Linked DNA regions of Caenorhabditis elegans. The protein of the gene in region 3 interacts with the protein of the main gene of each other region in a pairwise test. Each region holds a gene or a part of one and is shown on either strand. Other genes may lie near its edges. The genes, in order: cwc-15, ddr-2 and cct-5.

Region 1 (6,561 bases), on a different chromosome or scaffold from region 3:
CACCTGGATTCTTTTAGTCACACATTTTTGATTCAATGCTCTTCCACGTCATAAGGGGAGTTAGACTCCGATCTAGAGGAAAAACTTGTCTGGAAGGCAACCTACGCCTACGTTGTCTGGAAATCTACCGGCTGCAGTATAGGCGTAGGTTTTCCTCAAGGCTTGGTGCGTCCACAGAGATGTGAAGGTGGCATTTTAGCTGCGTACAAGCTCGAAGAGGAGAAAACTTCAGCAAGAATCGAAAAAATGTGCCAAGTTTTCAGTTTGGTCCTCATAATTTATTTTCAGTGTAGTCGTCTTCGCCTTCAACAAAGAGTTTCGCAGATGGCTTTTCCGTAATTTCAACGTCCCGACAGCTCAGAAGAGAATCGTGACAGTGGTTTCCGCTCATAATACATAATCTTCCTGTTCTAATAACTCCAACTGAACCCCAAACTGTCGTATAGTACATTCTCTCGAACCCTTTTTCTGCACCTATAGGTGTTGAAAACATATGGATTATATCTAAATATTATTCGCTCACTAACGTCATTATAAATTGGACACTTCCCCCGTAATTTGCTCGTATTTCTTTCTGAAAGATCCTGTATAAATTTTTCAATTATTTTTTTTTGGCATTCCAACTAATTTATTCAATAAAACAAAAAACTTGTCTATACATAAGATCAAACCACTCTTCTCTCCGAGCTCAAACTTTTTGAACACCTACTAATTGTTAGCGACAGCTGTAATGTCGGGATTGCAGTCTCATAATTCAAAAAGGGCGGAGTCTGTAGCCAGAAGTCTATAATTATTTTGAGAAACTTCAAAAACACCTGCTTGACAGCACAAAAAAATCATGTTAAAAAATCAATTTTTGGGTAGTCAACGGAAGTATTTCAAGGCGAAGCGTCACGAAACTGGATTATGGTGTAAGTTGATCAAGTTTTAATAATTTTGTTTTTTAGTCTAATATTAATGAATATGAAAACTGAATACTCCAAAAACATTTGAAAATTAAAAAAAAATTCAATCAAAGTTTTGGTAATTTGCCAATTTTGAGAAAAGTTGGGCTTTTTGGAAATGTTAAAACAATATTGCATGTTTGAAGTTTGGAAGTTCCTTCATAGATTTTGATGTTCTTCAGATGGCAATATTTCCAGCAGTGTCTTTTTTCCTTTGAAAATGTGAACCTTTAGCTTTTAAATGTTTCAGAACAACATTTCGAAACGACTCATATTTCACTGAAGCCGACGAAGATTATGTGTTTGGGCCAGATGACACTAAAGCCGGAATGATTATTAGTTTGGTGAGCAACTTTTTTTGGCATTTTCTAAAGAACAATCTTTTTAGGAAGTATATTGAAAGTAGTTATTATCAGTACAATGAATAAAGAGATAAGAGCTTATGCTACTAATGTGTAGCATTCGTAGTTTGTAGTCAGTGGCGTCACGTACCTTTCGAGGAATTTCAAAATCTCACTTTTATAGATTCAATTCTGGGCAGAAATTTTTTGAAGTTCGGTAAAAAATGTCTAAGTTTTTCCAAAGCCTGGGACGATATTTTGCAAGAAGTAACAGAAGGTAGTCAAAGTTCTAAAGGGATTATCCAAAATTTAACAGAAAATTGCCAATACTTGAAATAAAACATTTTAAAGTTTGACAGAAATGTCCAAACTTTGGTTGAAAATTTCCAAAGTTTTATCGGAAATTGTTAAAGTTTGACTGAGAAAATAGTCAAAGTCTGGACAAAAGTTTCTTAAGTTTGCCAACAAATAGACAAAGTTCTATAGAACATTTCCAAAATTTGGCAAACATTTTTCAAGGTTTGGCAACAATTTTAAACGTTTGGCAGAACATTGTCAAAGTTCTGCAGATACGTATCTTCCAAAGATTTTCAGAAAATTTCCAAACTTCGACTAAAAATTCTCAAATTTTGGCAGAAAGTTAACAAATTTCTAATTTTCAGGTCGGCTTCATCGGAGTCTCTGTTCAATCTGTCGTTGTCACCGGCGCATATAATATCAAGAACATGAAGGGTACCGTATTTGGAGCCCTAATTTTAAATGAAACATTTTCCCAGTTTGCGGCAACTTCCATCACATTTTTCTTCTTTTTCGTAGGAATTTTTTTGTTAGTTTATACTTTTTTTGCGCACTAAATAATCTCCAACCGTATTGAAACATTCTAGAAACACAATATTAATTGTCAGTAATTCTGCAATTTTCGGAAATATATCCCTGACAATTTTGCCAATTATGCTGGGCACCCACTTTCTGATGGCTTTCAACAGGTTTTGTGCTTCAAGTATGCCATTTGGATACAGAAAAATCTTTAGGTATGTTTATAGGATGCCTACCTGCCTGCTTGGTAGGCTCACGGTAGGCGTAGGTCGCCTGAGGAGATTACGTTTTTCAGCAAAAATTACGTACTCACTTACATCATCATAAATTGGACACTTCCCCCCGTAATTTATTCGTATTTTTTCTTCTTTTATAATTGTTCCTTCCCGTTTTTCCAATTTGGGTGGGTTTTCATGGAAGCTCAGCGGAATGAGGTGAGATTTCGGGGTCTTGCCACGAGCGAAACTTTTCGGCTACAGTACTTGGTGCAAATGGTCTCGACACGGCAAAAAATTGGTTACGGTAGCTGAAGCGTGACAGGACCCCGAGCGTGATTTTGATTGAGCATTTCCAGACATGTGGAGCAAAACTTCTACTGTTAAGCCTATCTGTTCAGTTCGTGATTATCTTTATTATCACAATTCTGGATATTTCCACGTTTATCATTCTTATCACTTGTCGAAAATCGATATTTAAAGGGCAAAGTAAAGAGAATAAACAACGCGATATCAATTTTGCGATGCAGGTGCGCTGTAAACGAGCTCTTGCAAAATAAATTCAAATTCCTTGTTTTAGGTGATAATTCAGGGAATTGTTATGGTGTTTTTTGGTGTTTGGTATGTTTCCGGTTATTCGTTTTTGCCTGGCAACAGGCTGGATTGGAAAATTTTTATGACAACTACGGTCTCGTCTTCTTTAACTAATTGCCTAGCACCGTTAGTGCTATATTTCACGAGCAATATCAATTTTTCAGTTTTCAGAATAGTAATATGTTTTTTCAATGCAGAATATCGCCGATGGATTATTCGTTTGATTCGCCGAGAAGGAGCATCACAGAATTTGACAGTTGTGTTGAGTAGGACTTCATAAATAATCAATTTTTATTAAAAATTTGTTAGATAAACGTTTTTTATTTGTTTCTCTTTTGAAAATTCCCTGAAAGTGTGTTTAAAATTCGATTTCCACCCGAAACCAAATTGGCGAAAACTCATATTCAAAACTCGCGCCGAAATGTGGTGGTGGCCGCGTGGCCGCGGACTAAGTGACGCCGCTAGGCCATTTGGCGAAAATCAATTTATAAATTTTTCCCGATGTTTTTAAAGTTTCTCGTCGTTTTCTATCATTTTCTACTTGTTTTTTCGTTAATTGAAAAGTGAAACATCGTTTATGCAAACTTTTTACTGAAGAATCTGTGTCAAAATTGTTAATTTTGAGGCTAAAAGCACTGAAGATCGGGACAAAGGTTTAATTTCGAATTCCGATAGATTTAAATAAGAATAATGTTTTTTTCTACTTTTTTAATGGTTTTTCATGTAAATTACTAAACTTGCACATGTTTGTATGAAAAATTGCAATAGAAAAACGATTATTTTACGTTCAAATTGAAAAATTGTATACTTCCGAGCAATTTCTTGTTCCGATCCGGAAAAAAAGTTTAAATTTCAAATTCAAACAAGTTAAACAAACATAAATTTTATTTTCGTTCCATATTTATTACTTTTCGCACAAAGTATCTTATATTTCCTCTGTTCTCTCGAAATAACGTTCACAAATTGTAATTTTTTCAGCAAAATGACCACGGCCCATCGTCCAACTTTTCACCCAGCTCGCGGAGGAACCGCTCGTGGTGAAGGAGATCTGTCGAAGCTCTCGAATCAATACTCGTCGAAGGATATGCCATCTCACACCAAAATGAAGTACAGACAGACCGGACAGGAGACTGAAGCCGATTTGAGAAAGAAGGTAAACGAAAAATCAATGATTTTCAAGCAATATAAAATAATTTTCAGGATCTCCGTCGTGAATTGGAAGACAAGGAGCGAAACGCAATCCGTGAGAAGCGTGCTCGTGACTCTGCTTCTTCGTCTTCAAGCCATTCGAAACGCCAACGAATGGATCAAATTGCTGCCGAGTCAGCGGCGTCTGTGGATGCAGATGAAGCAGTGGACGAGCTGAATTCGTCAGACGACGATGACTCCGATGAGGATGACACTGCAGCGTTGATGGCGGAGCTGGAGAAGATCAAGAAAGAACGAGCAGAAGAGAAGGCGGCGAGAGACGAGGAAATTAAGGAGAAGGAGGAGAAGCAAAGAATGGAGAATATTCTAGCCGGAAATCCACTGCTCAACGATACTCCAGCCGGATCCTCCACTTCTGGAGGCGATTTCACTGTGAAACGACGATGGGATGATGACGTGGTCTTCAAGAATTGTGCAAAAGGAGTCGAGGAGAGAAAGAAGGAGGTCACATTCATCAACGATGCTATCAGATCGGAATTCCACAAGAAATTCATGGACAAATACATTAAATAATTGATTTTTGTCTAATGATTCATCCATTTTTCACTGTTTTCCATCAATTTTCACTCAATTATATGCCACTGGCTCGACAAAACAATAAACGTGATATTTTGTAGTGTGTACCCTTTCAGAGCTCGTAGGCCGTATCGACTTTTCAAGTACTTTTGTCCTTTTTCCTTATCAATAGTAGTTATCAACCTTATCAATATATACGGAGCAGTCTCAATTTTAATATTAATCAAGTTTTTTTCAAAATGGTACAGACGATGTCGTCACGGAAGGTGATGGTGTTCGTGGTGACGTTTGTCAGGTAAGATTTTCACATTTCTAAAGTAATTTTCAAGTAAACCGGATGATTTTCGTATCAAAAATACAATTTTTCCACAAAAATATTTGCATTTTAACATGAAAAACTTCGAAAAAATCCTAGAAAGTCAATAAAAATAAAATCGTAACCACTTAAAGGCACAGGGGCTTATTCGGATGGGTCTCGCCACGAGAAGAACGTTTATGGTACCATTTTTTCGTTTTCCAGCGCCGGTTGTCTCCTTAATTCGTTTTCATCAATTTTAACAGGTTTCAAGCAATGTAATTGATTTTTTTATTTAATTGCTGAGAAAAGCAAATATTTCATAGATAAATAAGAAAAACGACCGCCGCAAAATTGAAAAAAACGAGATTAAATACTGTTGTCATTTTCCTGGCGAGACCCAGCCGAATAAATCCATTCGCCTTCAAAGAAAAAACAACTTTTTTCGTAAAACACCAACCATTCTTGTTTTACACGCTCAATACGTAATTATGCACAGTTAAAATACTCAAATTCTCAAAATTTCCTTAATTTTTAATATTTCAGTTACGGCCTGTACCACGCGAGTCGCAAAGCATTATCCGGAGTGAAATCGTCGATAAAAGCGGATTGGCTGAGCAACTCGTCCGGCCACGCGCCACTATTCACCAATGAAGCCGACGCCAAGCACTTTTTGGGATCACTCGACGCGATTTTCATGGCGGCCTACGCGGCGGCTCTCTTCTTTTGGGGTTGGCTCGGCGATCGGCTGAATCCGAAGCTTGTCGTCGCAGCTGGAATGGTTGGCTCTGCGGTTACGGTGAGTACAAACTGCTAGGCTTCTAAATTCCTAATTCGTTTAAAATTCAATTTTCAGCTCACTCTCTTCGGCGCCATCCCAAAATGGTTCAATTTCTACCATGCGCCCTACTATATCATGACCTACGTGGCGTTTGGGCTTGTTCAGGCCTGCGGATGGCCCAGTGAAATCGCGATTATGGCCAACTGGTTCGGAAAAGGAAATCGCGGATTTGTGATGGGTGTCTGGGCCGCGTGTCAGCCCGTCGGCAACATTTTCGGATCGATTTTCACGGCGATGGTGCTTCCACTAGGTTATCAGTACACTTTTGTGTTCAATTCGGTGCTCATTGCTCTCGGAGCAATTGTAGTCGTCATGGCTATTGATTCATCGCCTAATGAAGAGCATGAGGATGGCGTAGAGGCAAATAGGTAAGAGTTGAGAAGAAATAGGTCTTGCCACGATTTCGTACTGTCGTAAACACCCTAATATTTTGTGTAGACCTCCAAGTGTCGATTTACGCAGCTCGTGTAGTCCTCGAGGAGAAACATGCAAATTTTTACCACAGAAAATAACACAATTTTTGGCAAAAAATGCTTGAATTTTAACATTTTCGCTTTTTCTTCTTGAAAAATATAATTATTTCTGCTAAAAACTACATAATATGTAATTTTAAAGTTTTTTAATCAGTAAATACACAGCTTTTCACCTGAAAATCTCCAAAAAGTTGATAATTTGACTGTTACACCGCTTCTTATTCAACGGCAATGATCCAAAATCGAGCGTTTTTGCCGCCGAAGACTTCTACTTTAAAAAAATGCAAGCTCGTCCTCGGGGAATACACGATCTGCGT
Region 2 (7,814 bases), on a different chromosome or scaffold from region 3:
CGCCAAAAGTTTTATTACCTCCTTTTCGTCTTGCCAAATTCCACTAAATTGCACTGGAAAACCCAGCGGCTCAAGAATCAGCTGCTCACCCTGGAGCTCCTGGAGTATCTCAAGAGGTTGTGAGTCAAGCTTTTGCAATGGTCGCAAGCAGCCGCCAGTCCCTTTTTTTTCGTTGTTCTGCCGTTTTAATTAATGATCTGATCGGGCGGGTGTTAAAGAACAGAAGAACGGCTGATCGATTGCTCACGGCGCAGGGCACACACTTGAAGAGTATATTTTTTTCTTTTTGTTCTAAGCTTTTCTGCTGGAAATGAAAGAAGATTGATGAGTCGAATAAACAAGCCATTTCCCCCAGTTGTTGCAAGTATTCCTGTTTGTTTTTCAACTACAAATTATAACCCATTATTACTGTGTACTTGAAATTGTTATCAAAACGCGGTGAAAGTAACAAAGGAACTGTTTGCATTTGTAGAACACGCCATAATTTCTTTCATAAACATTTGACCTCCATTAGTGTTACATAACTTTCCAGGAACCACGGCGTTACATTTTCATATAAAAGGAATAGAAAAATAAAAGCCGAAAGCGTGAAAACAAAGAAAAGCCTTTGAAGATTTAAAGTTCAAGGAATTCTGTCGGCGCTTTTTTTTTGGTTGCCTGTTCCGGTAGCCATGATCTCGTTCCGTTTTTCACATTACACTACCTCACACGCACATTTATTTCTCGCCTTTTCACCTTTTTCACCTTCTCACCTACATTACGTCTTTCTGTTTCACCACTTTTTGTGCGAATTCTCAAATAGTCTCATAAAAGTGCGAAATCATTACCATGGTCATGCTCATTGCGTTCTTCGTTCGAGACGCGCATTCAACGTGGCCACTCTTTGTCTCTAATTACACACAGCCTTCCTGGAAGGTCGTTTTTAAATGAACGTACTTCTAGCGTGATATGTTATTCGGTTAGTGTCTGTTCAGTTTCGTATGTTCGCAATTTCAATGGTCTTTAACGGTCGATTTGTCAGAATTTCCGGCGGGTGGTACGAGTCAACAGTGGTGATTGACTGCTACTGCAAGGAATTGAACAGAGAGTCGAACGAAAACTTTGATCAATTTTTTTTGTCTGCCCTGTTTGTGAAATCAGAAAATCATTAAATCTAACAATGACTCATGTAAAATGAGCATTTTCACAAAAAAAGTGCACTATTAGAAAACTGATATAACTTTTTTTTAAAGTTTAGATAGATTGGAGAAACTGTATATTTTTTAGTTTTGTTAGTTAGGAAATGTTTTCTCACAATTTTCATTATTGATTTAGTTGTAAAAAAAATTTAAAATGCCGGAAAAGTGTCACCGGAGAAAAATACTGAAAAAAGTCATAGTAAGAAGTTTCTTAAAAAATTGTTATTTTGTTTGAAAAAAGTGATAATTGTTTAGTTTTGGTCATTTTTTATGAACGCCGTGAATCAAAAAAAATGTTGTTTTTCGAATTTTTAAGTGTACTTACATTATAATGAATTTAATTTTTTTGTTGAAACTTCAGTACTGTATTTTTTTAAAGAGGCAAAACTCAATAATTGCCACTTTTTGACTGTCATTAAAAATGTTTAAAAATTGCTTTGAAAAGTTTTATTATGGAATTTGGTAATTTTGGCACTATCTTCGGATAAAATATTTGATTTTAGAATTTAGAAATTCTAGACCTCTTTTTCAAATTTACGATTCCTATTTAAAAATGACTTCCTAAGAATCTTGTTCCCACTAGGGATCTTATATTTTCGTTTTTCGTTTTTTAAATGCTATACTTCTCAGAGGTACTAATTCCCACTGAACCTGCCTCAGGCAGTTAATTTTTCGTCGTCCTCCTCCAATTTTTTAATACCCATTTCTTCTGATCGTAGAACATCTGTCTTGGATGCTTGGGCAGGGATGTTCTCATTGAAAAGCGATAAAACTTTCAAGACACTGTTCAATTTACAGAACATTCGCTACTTCCTCTTCAACACCTGTCTTTTCGCTTCTGATGAGGTACCACCACCGCCGATCCACACAGACCGCCACCCCTCCCGCCAAGACTCCGCCCCTCTATTCTTCATTGCTATGCTTGCGCGAAGGCTGCCCTCTTCCCCCCCCCACCACTTTCTGGCCACCCACTTTTCCTTGGTGCAAAAACCATAGCTTTGTACAGTTTGAGTGAGTTCAATGCTTCTGAATCGTCTTCTTTCGAACTTTTTTCTCCAGCTTCTTGATGGGTTAATGTGCAATGCAATGAAGCACATGTACATAGTACTCTCTTTCTTCCACACATATGGTTTACGTTTCCTATGTGTCCCTCTCCTTGATGCAATCTCTTAGCAGCCTTCACTCTATACATGATTTTTAATATATATCTTTCTTACAAAACTTGTTTCTTTTCTTCTCCCAATTTTTTTCCATTTTCTTTGCTCTGAGTCACGGTGTTACTAGAGAAGTCATCTGCCAAAAACTCATATTGCGGTTGGTCCTCACACCTATTCTCTACCTATTCATCGTAGAAGCCCAATTGGTTTTCTCATTACTTCACACCCTCATCTACCGCGAGTACAACGTTCGCTTTTTCATTTCTCCATTTTTTAGAGTACCGAAAGTGTCATTGGTGGTATAAATTGCTCTTTTGAATTTCTGGGAATAGTCAGGAGCAACAGCTCCCATCAACCACCACGGTACGATCCATTAAATTAACATATAGTGCAGCTTGAAATTGAAATTGAGTGAAGTGGTAATTGATGAGAGGGTGTGTGCAAATTGAAAAAGGAGGCACAACACGCCAGAAAAAGAGCAAGACCACCAACTACATTTTTCTAGCTTCCTCTCGCATTTTTTTTTTCACGCGCATCTTGACAAGCTTATCTGTTCTTGGTCTTCAACTATTGACCCCATCTATCCGTTTTCCATGTTTCATTTCTTCCAATTTTTTTTTGTTGCTCTTCTCCTTTTCCAACTTTCACACCCACCAACCTCGTTGCTTTCGGCTTTTGCAACTTACTAGTTAATTCCAACTTTTTTCTTCTTCTCACTCCATATATTCTAATATAAATATGAAAGCCGCCGAGATGAGTATAATAACGCGCTCTTCCTGAATAGCTTCCCGCAAAAGAGCGGATATTTGAGCATCTGCCCCCAGGCCCTCTTCACACTTCTCTATTTCATTTTGGGCCTGTCAAATTGAATTTCGTACGTTGTTGTTCCTTCTAGACTTTGACCACTTTTTTCAATTTCCTCATATGCTTTTTTGGCTTTTTTCAGAGTCTCCGACGCTCATCTATGTCAGGATGAAGTTGCTGCTGTATCTATTCGGTGTCACATTTCATAGCAACACAGTAGTCGCATTGGAATTAAGTAAGTGTACGGTCAATTGACTTTCCTTCTTCTAAATATGGCAATATTGCAAAAAAGTGTCCGTTTTGGGAAAGTGGCCAAGAAAAGAGGAGGGGACGATTGTTAGAAATGCATCATATTTTTGTCACCAGTTGCACTCTAAACTCCTAAACTAGTACACTTTTTTCTCTTCTCCTCCTCGCCCATTAGCTCTCATCACGTTTTGGTGGCTTACACGCCGGAATTTATGGGAGGCAAAAGGAAACGACATGATGATGAAAAGGGTATGCAGTTAAGAAGGTGAAACCGACAAACGGAAAAAAACGTTTTGGGGACAACCTAACTTTTTTTTGAGATACCATCAGTTTGCGCGAAATTGTGAATAGTCAGCGGCAGGAGATGATATCAAAAGGCATAAAAGGAGTGGGTTAGTTTTGAATCGGACACTTGCAGTGACATAAAGATGGTCACAAGTGGATAGTGATGAATTATAGGCCGGGTTGTTTCTATGACAATATGATCAAAATCTCGAGATAAAAATAATGCATAAAAATAATGCTATTTCAAATATCAACCAGATCTCGACCCCTCGCAATAGTCAAAAAGTCACTAAACCTCTTCAGAAAATTGATGACACCGATTAGGGGCAGGTGCATGTGTAATTGCCGTAATCGCAATCGATCCGTATTCTTGAGCATTGAGCGTAAAATCTGAATAGCTTTGCATTGCGCAATGTGACAAAGAAGTGTTTGTGTGTGTGGGTGTTGGGTGACAGGAGGTAGAATATAGTATTCAATTTATTGCCTTTCATTTTCGATGCTCACAACTCACATGCGTATAAATCACAACACAGTGTTGCTGCTCCGAGGGCTACTTTCACTAGATTTTTGATATTTTGAGAGGGGTGTATGATGACGATGATTCGATTTGTTAGTAGACTAGTGGGAAAAAATGTCGTTGAAAAACGAAAACCAATTTCTTGTGGTCCCGAAAACTCATCATTTGGGTCTTTCCTATGACAGCTGCTTGTCGTTCAATTGCTAAATAACACATCATAACATTGTTCTTTTAGTCGTCCTTATCATTTCTCTCGTTTTTGAAAACAAGATGCACAGAAATCTGCCAGCTTCTCCACAATGTTTTGTAAGATTTTGGGGGATAATATATAATCAAAAGCGGATGGGGGTGACAGTTTTGTCGGGCCGGTTCCCCTCGCTTCCGGAGATGCGCAACTGTTGCAATGCACAAAGATGCCGACGAGAGGTTCCTGCTCACAAAGTGCCACAATGATCGATTGCTTACAGTTTATACCAAACACTCTTTGACAACTTGCTGGCGAGTATCTGGTCGAGCCTATCAAATAAAAAAGAGCCGAAAATGTCGCTGTAAAAAAAACTTAATTGTATGTATTGCGTGGCCAACTTGATTGGCCAGGTTGACATTTTGCACACCTACCTGACTCATTCAACTAAAAGCTTTTGCTTTTTGTTTCGATTTCTTAGGTTTTTTATTAGGTGTGTGTTTTCTTCCAATACCCAAAAAAGAAGAAGACAGTTGCATTATCGTAATCCGTTTTGTTATCGTTTGCATGATTAACGAGATTGCGCAACTTGACATGGCGGCGCACATCACAGAGATTAGTAGCCATGCGCAATTTCTATGGAAACTGACCTGGAGAACGTGCGAAAGGTCACAACACTGGTCCATTAGAGCACTACTCGGAGAAGAGGATATCAACAACATTTGTCATCGTATTTCTCACCTTTCAACCTCACAAATAACAAAACAATTGTTTATCTTACACTACCAGAATGATAAAACGTCTCGAGAGTGTTGCTAGTTACTGGTTGTAAATCATCGCTTGTGGTGTCCTACAACATAAACCTGGTGCGCGAGAAGGTCGTGTGCACAATCTCCATTTTTATTGCTAATTTATGTCTTGACGCACAGACGTCAGGTACTCAATTCTTGCAAATCCATAATGTGACCATAAAAATTGTGCTGCTGTTTGGGTTGTAAAAGACAGGTATAATTATCCGGAATTATCCGCTGGCAACAAAGATAATCGTAAAATATTATTCTGCGGAGGTCTTCGCCTTTTTGGAAATAGATTTAGATTTTCAATTCGACGTGAAACATGCGAAAATTGTGGTTGTACGCGGCAACTCATATGATTAGAAAGCATTGGTTTGATTTGGTGAGCTCAAAAAATTCAATTGAGGATGCCAGCAGACCCGGGTCCTATTTGCTCTTTTTAGGCACATCTCTCGGTAGCCTTGTTGACCGCATATCAGATTAGGCATTGTCGGAAAAAGGATGAGAATACATAATGTCAACAAACGGGGCTACATGACAAAGCATACAATGATAAGTACACTAAACCAAAAAATAAAGGCGGCTGAAATATGATAGGGTGCTCTTAAACTCTTTCAACTCTTTTCCAATTAATAAATTATGTTTCAGGAGAATGCAGTCACCAATTGGGAATGTCAAATCGAAAGATTCGTGATGAGCAAATCTCGGCGTCTTCGAGTTTCGACTTGCAAAGCACTGGACCTCAACATGCTCGGTAAGTGGTTTGGGAACTACTCATTTGAAATTCGTACTACGTTTGAATCCCTTGAAACTTTAATGCAAATTTCCACGGACTTGATAGAAACATAGAAAATTTGAATTACTTTCTCTCTGCCAATCCTTTTAGCATTTTCTCACGAGTTATTTGAATTGTGGGGACCGTTCAAATTTGAAATACACTACACAAAAAATTAGTTGGCATCTTGCTTAATTATAGCGAGCTGACTGTCAACAGGAAGAGAGCTATTGTGTTAGCCTAATAATTAGTCTCTTCCCTAATTACGGTATCCGCTTTCACATCGTTTTGTATAGTGTTGTGACCCCACCCAGGAGAATTCACGCGTTCCCAAAGGCGGCTTTACAAGATGGTTAGAGGGGGGATTACTGCTCTTTGCAAGTTCACGCGTTCGCCAAACTCATTGAAATTGAAATTGAGAGCGCATTGGCATGGCACATCTAATTTGGACAAGCTTCTGACGGGGGAACGTGATGCTTCATCAGTAGCATACGTTAACGCCTCAACAAGCGATTTATCTAGTTTGATTGTTTTGACAGGCCGCATGCGGTGCTGGGGGCTTTCCATTGCTTCACTTCCTAATTGCAATGTGTTGCATTGCGTAGATAAAATCTTGATTAGGAGCTCATCTGGAGAATGAGAGGAGAAGGAAGATGGAATGGAAATTGAGAGCCACACAACGAGAAATTGCAATATACAATAGTATAAATATAAAATAACATACTTTTTATCACTTAAAGGTGAACTACGGTCAGTAGAGAAATATTCCTAATCTTCTAAAATATCCAAATAACTTATTTTTTGTGTAGAATATTTTTATTTTCAGTCAAAAAGCGGTAAAAAACGGTTATTTTAAAAACCTCTAATTGTGAATACTGTCGCATGCATAAACCCCTACTGTCTTGAGATAGGAATTTTCCAAATAAAATTAAACATAAAACTGAATGGAACATATTTTTTTCTTGATTTACGATGTCCAAAAAATGGGTGAAAACTGAGTTTTCACCGCTTTTTGACTTGAAATGAAATTTCCAATATTTTTTGAAAAGTTTTATTACAAGATTGGAAGCACCATAGGAATGTTTTTTGTCTACCTACAAGTCTCAAATTTAATACATTTAAACATTTATCGTTATGTATTGTTTTCACATGGGAATGAATTTTATATTTTAATATTCCAATTCAATTTTTTCAGAGCTCATCAAGAATCTGGAAGTGGTGCCTGGTGTCCGAAGAATCAAATAAACTCTCTCAGCAAAGAATGGTTGCAGATTTCGTTTTCCGTGGATACAGGTTTCGAGCAGAATCTAGAAAATTCTAACAAAAAGCCCAATTTTTTCAGTAATAACTTCTGTGGAGACCCAGGGACGATTTGACGACGGACGTGGAATGGAGTATGCGACCGCATTCAAAATTCAGTACTGGCGACCTTCGCTAAACGCATGGGCATCTTATAAAGACGATTTTGAGCTAGAGGTTCGTCCTTTTCATTCAGAATGACCGCTAATTATGGTATCGGCACTCTTTGGAAAGCGCACCGTTATATTTATGCGCTTAACGCCATTAGCCCCAAATATCTGAGATATGTGAATCACAAAAAGAACCTTGCGAAGAGAACAATAGAAATCTAGCTATGACTTTTGACACACCATTTTGACACACCATTCATACTGTCACTATACGAGCAACGGTGGGGGGAAGAAAGACGGGACACGATTTGAATAGAATACAATACAAAAACGCGTTATTCGAGATTTATTACAAGGTCTTCTGCCCCACAATTCGTTGTGTCCGTTTTCGGAGATATCATGAGATTCTATTGAGATTCAAATTTTTATCCATGTACATCCTGTGCTTGGTTATTTTTTTGA
Region 3 (7,895 bases):
GCTGGCGACGGTGCATGAACTGAAAATATTTGATTCATAAATTTGATTCAATGTGAAAAGTATTCAGAAAGCTTACCTTCAAAGCCATAAAGATCTCCTGAGCAATATGAAATGCTGATTGAACACAGAAAGTGCCACCTCCCATCTGTTCTCGACACTTTTCTAAATTGACGTCAAAGATGGAAGTTACTGAAAATTAAATATTTTAGAACATTTAGTTAAAAATATTAATAAATCCCAACCATAAAATGGAACTCCTAGAATCTTTCCTTGATGTAGAATTGGTGGAACGCGTGGAGGTGGATCATTTCCTTGACCCCATAGTGTTTTCAGGACTGTTATCTCACGCTTAAATTAAAGAAATGTTCTATAACTGAAACCTATTGAGTTCAAAATTTACAGAAAGACGATAGACAATTTGATGGCTTGACAATTGCCTCAGAGCAGTTTTCATAATGAATCTTGAATTTCCAACCGAGACCACGTCGTTGCTGAAATTCAGAACTTAGAAATCAATTTCCAAACAAGAAAAACTTACTCGACAGCTGACTCATTTTGAACCATGTAAATTGCTCCAAAACGTCCCTCGTCGAACTTGGTCAAGATTTTGAGACGAGTTGTTGCCTTCTTATCATTATCGTCAAGTCTGAAAATTCATTGATATTTAGGCATATGGGTAGGCAGGCATGAACTGGTACGCAGGCAAGAATGAGCTAGGCAGGTTGGTAGGCATGAGGTAGGCCCTTCGGTGAGCAAACGTAAACACACAGGCAGCCATGGTGTATACACGAAGGTGGACCCGCAGGCCCGTTGGTAGGCATGAACTAGGCATTTAATAGATGCCTTCTAACCATAGAGTAGGCACACGGGTAGCCATAAAGTAGACGTCTAGGTAGGAATAAAGTAATTATGTAGGCATGGATGCCTTACGTAGGCATGCATAAGGTAGACACGCAGTTAGGCTTGATAAAGGCACAGGTAGGCACTTTGCGAGGCAACTCTTATTCCACTAACTTCTCAGCAATGACCACATGATCCGTCGATCTCAATTCAGCACGTGTCTTGAGGTAAGTGTTCAATGTTTTCACCGTCTCAATTGTGACTTTTGGATCGACATACATCTCTCGCCATTCGGCTTCCAGCACTTTCCGGGCAAAGTTCGGAGGATCTTCCGGTTTTCGGAACAGAGATCCCGCCATGCGATACTGAAAATGAGTACATAAATATCAAATTATAACCGAAAAAGTAGGCATAAAGGCGACCTACGCCTGCCTCATGGCTGCCACTTTCATCAAGCATTTGGAAGTAGGAAAGTATAATTCTGGGCATAGTTTGCTCTCTGCAACACCTTTTCCGAGTACGGTAGCTTCCCAGGTCCGCTAACACCATCAAGCATAACTTTACAGCATGCCTAAATAGGCATGTATTAGGCTCCATTTGCCGGCAAATTGCAGAAACACCGCAAAATGCCGTAGTTCTCGTGGTTTTTGCGTATTTTCGAAGGTACAGTAACCCTGAAACTGTATGATGCGCGATACTCCAATGCAACAGTCTGCCGAACGTGTAATAGTATCCAAAAAAGTTCAGAAATCCGGAATGTATACCTTCTTATCGATATTTGCAGCATCAACTGCTAATTTTGACTTGACTTTCTCGAGCTGTCTCTGACTTTCACCCGATTCTTCAGATTCTTCAGAAGTTGAAGAATCTCGTGCCTCTTTCTTCTTCTTTCTCTCCTTTTGCTTCTTTTTATCCTTCTTGTTCTTCTTTTCAAGACTATTCTTCTTCTGAGTCGATTTTTCTTTTTTCTTCTTATCCGCTTTCTTTTTCCGTTTATCGATTTTTTTAATTAAGCGATCCTGAACACCGGTATTCTCAGATATTCCTCAAGCCTTTTGATCTTACCATTCGTTTTTCTTATACTTCTCGAACGCTGGTTTTTGAAGCAAACACCAACTCGGACCACCGTAAAATTGAAACTGAATTTTATTTGTTTTTTTTTCAAAACCTTCCCCCCTTATCTCCACATTCAATCTATTTAGCACTCACGCTTTCAATACTTTCAATTAAAAAAGGCGAAAATTATTTGTTAAATAAATAAAATTTATTCTCGCTATAGTGTTTAAACTTTAATTTAAATTTAACTATTTAAATTTGACTATTTAAATAATTTCAGACCCAATTCTTTCCCTTCACTGTTCAATTTAAATCGAGAATAGTGGCGCCGAATTTCTCTGCGACTACGGTCAAAAATTGCGGACTTGCCGCGTACACCATGACGCGCAATTGCACATGTGACATTTTTCTAGAAGATTTTCAATTTTTTTCGTCAAAAAACGTTCATTTCACCTCAGTTTTTTTAAGTTGGCTGATGAAATTATATCCAGAAATTTAAAATTCAAACCTATTTCCAGTTTCTGTCCGCTCTGCACTCAGATTTAGCATTTTAGGTCGATTTTCAGTGTTCTTGGTATCATTGCATTTTAAAATTCTTCGAGAAGATCCCGAATAACCGAACAGCTGCCAATGTTGCTATTCCAATTTTCTTTCGTTCATTTTATTCATTCCTCGAGAATATTCTGCGGGTTTGATATCGAGAACATTGTTTCGAAATGCTGAATTTCGTTTCTTTTTCTTATTTTTGAAAATCAATTCTCTTTCAACAACTTATACTTAAATAATTTTCTCTTAATTAAAATTTTTAACATGCTAATATTTTCAGTGTCTGTCAAGACGGAACTTGGATAAGAAAATGGCGCAGTCATCTGCGCAACTACTGTTCGATGAGAGCGGGCAACCGTTCATCGTTATGCGTGAGCAGGAGAACCAGAAGCGTATCACCGGAGTTGAAGCTGTGAAAGTATGTAATAATTATTTTTTTAACCGGAACATTTAGTTTCTAAATGTTATGTTTTCATGTTTGACAAGTCCTGAAGTTTGTTCTTAAAATTAACTTCATTATTTCAGAGTCATATTCTTGCCGCTCGTGCTGTGGCCAACACTCTTCGCACATCTCTCGGTCCACGTGGACTCGACAAGATGCTCGTTTCTCCAGACGGCGATGTCACCATCACCAACGACGGAGCCACTATCATGGAGAAAATGGATGTGCAACATCACGTTGCCAAGCTTATGGTTGAGCTCTCCAAGTCTCAAGATCACGAAATTGGAGACGGAACCACTGGTGTCGTTGGTGCGTTTTTTTTTTTGGCAGAATTCAGCGCGCACCTCGTAAAATTAGATAGCTTAAACTTATTATGATTATCATGTGAGAGTTGAATATATTTTAGTTTAGAAAACCTTTCCTAATATCAAGTAAATTCCTAGCGAAATTCTTTCCTCTGGTGATTCTCTATGAACATTTTTCGATTCATGTCTAGAAAATGTCCACATTTCTCCCTTTTCTTCGTCGTAACTAAACCGTGTTTGCTTTCCGATTTTTCCTTTTTTGGTCGCTGTCCTTCATTTTCTTCTGCTGTGTAGTTTCGTCTGCAGCATAGTTTAAAATTATTTCGGTTTAACGTTTGAAATTCACCTCAACTACGTAAACCATAATCTTGATAAACTTCGGAATAGCTTTGATAGTTGTAACAAGATTTTCATTTTAAAAAAGCAAAGAGTTGATGTTATTGTCTGAGCTTGTGGATACAGCCGGCAAATCGAAATTTTGATTGCAGGATTTTTTGTAAACGTCACCAGCAGCTGCATTTTAAAATGCCATTGAGAAGCAAATTCGTGAGCATTTAGAGTAAAAGAACTGAAATGTTCATTGATTTTTTCATAAAATGACCGTATTTTTATGATGACTATGAGAAGCGCACCTATTTGTTGACGTCATAAACCCGGAATAAGTCTGAATTTCGAGACAATCAGTCTGAGTCACTCGGCAAAATTGGTTATCGATAATTTTTCGTGCTGGTTATAAAAACGAACTCTGTACACATGAAATTCGAAGTGAAACGTGTTTCATCTGCAATCTTTTCTTTATCAGTATCACACATTAAATCGAAATACTTTCTATCGAAAATGTATATTTTGTTGTCACCCTCTGGTCATTCATGATAATTAATTTAAAAAAAAAAGAACCCTTAGCCGTTCCTTTAAAAGTTTGAAATGTTTGATCTATGAGAAAGTGCGCCTGCTCGTTGTCGATCGTTCTAACTAAACAATCCATTTGCTCTCCTTTTTCGCTGTGCCCGACGCTCCGACAAAATAAAAAACGAAAAGATTGCTCATTTTTCTGATGGTGTGAGCACACAAAAGCCAACAGTTGAATGGGAGGTCTGTCGATTCTCCATGTTCTTTGATTCTTCATTGTTTCTATCTGCACCTTTCTATGACGAAGAAATACACGATAAGCTATCTTTCTTTCATTTTTTCAAGTGAATGTTGACCTCCAGACCTTGGAGTCTTAACAATTCTCCGTTTGCACCATTTTTCTTACGTAACCATATGTTTGCGAAAAACGTGGGCAAATATGGTATCGTATGAATTGCATCGTTAAAAATTCCAGTTCTTATCATATTGTGTTTCTTTTTTGATAACGATTGATGTCGACCCGTCGATTTAGAGCGTCTTTATGGATTTTTGATATATTTTTTGTGTGAAATTTTGTCACTTCAAAGTTTGAATTGCCATAAAAAATTTATTTCGCAAAATTATGCGTCGGTGGAGAATTTCTAGTGTTTCTTATTCCAAAAATTGTGAGCCCTCATGCTTGAGCCACTTATGTCTTTCATAATTTTGATGCAATGTCGCTGTCCGATGTCGTCCAGCATTTTTCCTTCCATTTTTTTCCCGTTTCCTTCGATAAATAATTGAGTGGTTGCTGTGGGCGCGCGCTCCTGCGCGCTAACACTCATTCTCTCACAGCGTCTCTTTTTTCCTCTCCATTTTCTATTCCCTTATTTTATGTCCCATAACAAGTGTTTCGTTTTCCGTTGAGTCGTAAGAGACAGAAGAGACGATAATTAGATTGGTGTGACCGACATGCAAGTGTGCACGCTTCATCGCTCTCTCCATCTGAGCAACATTTTCCAGAAGAGAAACCGAGTCATTTTTGATGTGAGATGCTTAAATGCAAGACTGGTCAAATTCTCTCTTCACTCTATATCTTTGAATTTATGATTTGATGGAAAGAGATTGGTTATTCATAAGATTGTCAAGCTCATGTTTTTCCAGTGCTTTTGGATTATTTAGGCTTCTTTTTCCGAAAAATCTTTCCATAACGTTAATTTTTTCTAAGAGGTTTCAAAATTTTTTGAGGTAGTCAAACTTTGTTGACAGTGTCTAGTTTCGCGTTAAATTCCATCGAAATCAAGATATGTCCAAATAAATTAGGTGTTTGATTCTTTAGAAAATCTAATTTCTAGGTTGATGTTTGTGATATCATGTAATTCTAAGTTGGGGAGCGATATATAGTTTCGCTGGAAAAAAATAACCAAGCAGATTAGAAAATTTTCAGAAAATAGTGAAAATCACGAGGTCATTTGTTTTTTTTTTCTTATTGTTCTTCTGGTTCTGATCGTTGTCGCCTCTCCCTCTTTCAATCCATCATGCGGCGCCGATTGACAATTCTCAATTGTGTTTGTCACAACAAAAATTCAATTGTCGATTTTCCTTTTTTGCCTCTCCCCAACCTGAGGATCAAACGGTTGCTGAAAAGGTCGTCAGGGGCGACTGGTTTTTTCCCACATGTTTTACTCGTGTCATCATCAGATTATGCCCTCACTTGGCCTCGTTTTTCCGCGTAGAATCGGCAGAAAATCGATCGAATTAATAGAATCACGATTTTTTCTCTTCATTTTGTGTTTATCTATTTCTTCAGTAATTTATGATTTTATAATTTGGTTTCGGAAGTTACGGAAACAAAAATTCCGTTTTTTCCTGTCTCCGGTAAAATTTTACTCTTTCCCCTCAAAATGGCCTTCCAGGCTCTAAAGTATCTAATTTCCTGTGCTTTGAAAGGTGGGAAATGAGTAAAGGTCACATGCTAAAATGAAGTGGAGGGTAGCAATTCATTATTTTATACATTTTCTCTTTCCATGATACATTCGCTCTGCCCTCTTAGGCCACTTTGATCAGTCCCTCCCTCACGTTTAAAGTCAGCTGAATATGCCGCTTTTTGCCTCCTTTTCCTGCTACTCTCCGTTACTCGCGTTTTTCCTAGCTTCTCACATCGATTCTGGTCTCCAACACGAGCTCCACGCCACTGAGCTATCTTTTTTTGTGCTATGTGTCTCTTTTTTCTTTCTTTTTTTTCTTGCTCGCTGCTTCTTCTCATCTTGCCGTTATTGCCACTCTTCCTCTCTTTCTCTCACTTTTCAGTTACCAACCGATTTCGTCAGACACTCTGATTCTCTAACTAATCTATTCGGTCAGCACACTGTCTAAAGTTTGCAATGCTCTCCGGTTAACAAACTTTTAAGAACTTTTGCTCTCTGCTCCAAAATGACAAATAATTAAAGTTCATTTATTTAAATTTACTATACTTTGTGTTTTATCCCCAAGCTTGGAGAATAAATTTCAAACTTAATTCACATGACTGACATTTTTGAAAGTTTAATCTCCGAATTAAGTATAGGCTTCATTACAAATTGAAAACTTTGTGATTTTCAAAGATTAAAAGTGTAGAAATATATCAATGTTTGCAGTAAATGCATATCTTCCACATTTGAGCTCGAAAATAATATTAATTTTGTTCTTCAGATAAAAATTTCTAGTATTTTTAGCCAGAAGAGTCATCAAAAAGTCATTGACCGAGCAGAGTGCTTGCTCGACGAAAGGCTCCTTTATTCATTTCAATTTTCTTCCTCCATCCACAATTGTCATCTGTAAAGCAAAATGACGTCGTCCATAAGAAAAATTATATTTTTTGCATATTTCCTATTTTACCTTGTGACACAGAATTCGTTTTTCAATGAATTTCAAAGGAGAAGCGCGTCGAACACAAATGTCTGTTACTTTTCTATCGAAAATGTCAATATTGAGTATTTTCTATGGTTTATGCTTCTTAGAAACGTTTTTTCTCGAAACGACTTGAGAAACTATTTTAGAGCACACGGTGTCAATGTTGCCAATAAGAAATATATCAGTGTTACTCATAAATATTTCCAAAAAGTCACAACCGTCTCCATCCTAGTTCTTTTTCATTTTCTGTCACTGACGACGTCGTCAACGATGATAGATGGAGAGAGAGAGAGGCGGAAAAGTGTGTCAACCGCTTTTTTGCTCTTTTTCTTTTAGATGCTAACACATACACAAATTGCTCACGGATCCTTCAAGTTTTTTTCCCGCATTTCCGCCCTTTTTGTGTGTCTGGGAGAGTTTCTCAACAGGGGGGTTTCACCTTGAATGCGTCGAATATTTATTGAAAGCCGAAATTATAATATTGCGAAATCAGTCTTATTTTCCTGGTTTCCTTCCTAAACGTGGTGATGAAGAGACAGACAAAATCCGATATTCTCGTTCTCCGTTGCGTCCCCATGGACGGATTTGTTTTTGATAGTGGAGTAACGAAAAAGAGGAGTTTTATGTCTATATTTTTCAGTTTTTGAGTAGTCTGCTCACAATAAATAACTAAAGAATAAAGTTCTCATTTTTATTCAAAAAAAGTATATTAATCATTTTCTCACTGAGGCAAGTGTTTATAATAAAAACTTGTAACATAAAAATCAATAAAAGCCAACGTTTTCTTGTCTTTCTTCGTTTGATTTTTTGAGATGATATCACTTTTTTGTTTCTCTCTTCCACCTGCTTTTCACGGCGTGTATCAATTCGTTGATAATCGACAATCTGCATCGTTAAGTGCCAAATTTGTTCCTATCACGTCATGATATCAAACATGCAAGACTATCTCTTAACATTAATTTTTTCGTTCAATTGTGAACTCTAAC

Evidence for each region.
Region 1: the proteins of cct-5 (region 3) and cwc-15 interact in a two-hybrid assay, tested with the Caenorhabditis elegans proteins (one large-scale study listed by BioGRID).
Region 2: the proteins of cct-5 (region 3) and ddr-2 interact in a two-hybrid assay, tested with the Caenorhabditis elegans proteins (one large-scale study listed by BioGRID).

The regions. Positions count from the first base shown.
Region 1 is NC_003283.11:16,019,463-16,026,023, forward strand, and holds cwc-15 (Spliceosome-associated protein CWC15 homolog), read left to right. Parts: upstream 1-3,888; 5' UTR 3,889-3,892; coding exon 3,893-4,063; intron 4,064-4,110; coding exon 4,111-4,632; 3' UTR 4,633-4,731; downstream 4,732-6,561. Other genes in the region: srx-43 (Serpentine receptor class X-43), read left to right, coding at 289-400; srx-44 (7TM GPCR serpentine receptor class x (Srx) domain-containing protein), read left to right, coding at 907-911, 1,195-1,288, 1,948-2,111, 2,170-2,316, 2,397-2,535, 2,676-2,846, 2,897-3,036, 3,082-3,190; T10C6.6 (Major facilitator superfamily (MFS) profile domain-containing protein), read left to right, coding at 4,875-4,930, 5,477-5,729, 5,787-6,139. UniProt on the Caenorhabditis elegans protein: Component of a spliceosomal complex that is required for activating pre-mRNA splicing.
Region 2 is NC_003284.9:3,312,040-3,319,853, forward strand, and holds the start of ddr-2 (Discoidin domain-containing receptor tyrosine kinase B), read left to right. Parts: upstream 1-3,274; 5' UTR 3,275-3,307; coding exon 3,308-3,374; intron 3,375-3,414; exon of another isoform or gene 3,415-3,694; intron 3,695-5,016; exon of another isoform or gene 5,017-5,816; coding exon 5,817-5,922; intron 5,923-6,244; exon of another isoform or gene 6,245-6,564; intron 6,565-7,138; coding exon 7,139-7,236; intron 7,237-7,285; coding exon 7,286-7,419; intron 7,420-7,814. UniProt on the Caenorhabditis elegans protein: Tyrosine-protein kinase receptor which, together with ddr-1, is involved in axon guidance to establish the tracts for the ventral and dorsal nerve cords during nervous system development.
Region 3 is NC_003281.10:4,502,942-4,510,836, reverse strand, and holds the start of cct-5 (T-complex protein 1 subunit epsilon), read left to right. Parts: upstream 1-2,722; 5' UTR 2,723-2,752; coding exon 2,753-2,860; intron 2,861-2,967; coding exon 2,968-3,193; intron 3,194-7,895. Other genes in the region: F25F2.1 (Protein kinase domain-containing protein), read right to left, coding at 1-19, 77-189, 243-348, 401-491, 539-646, 1,015-1,205, 1,605-1,859, 1,906-1,908.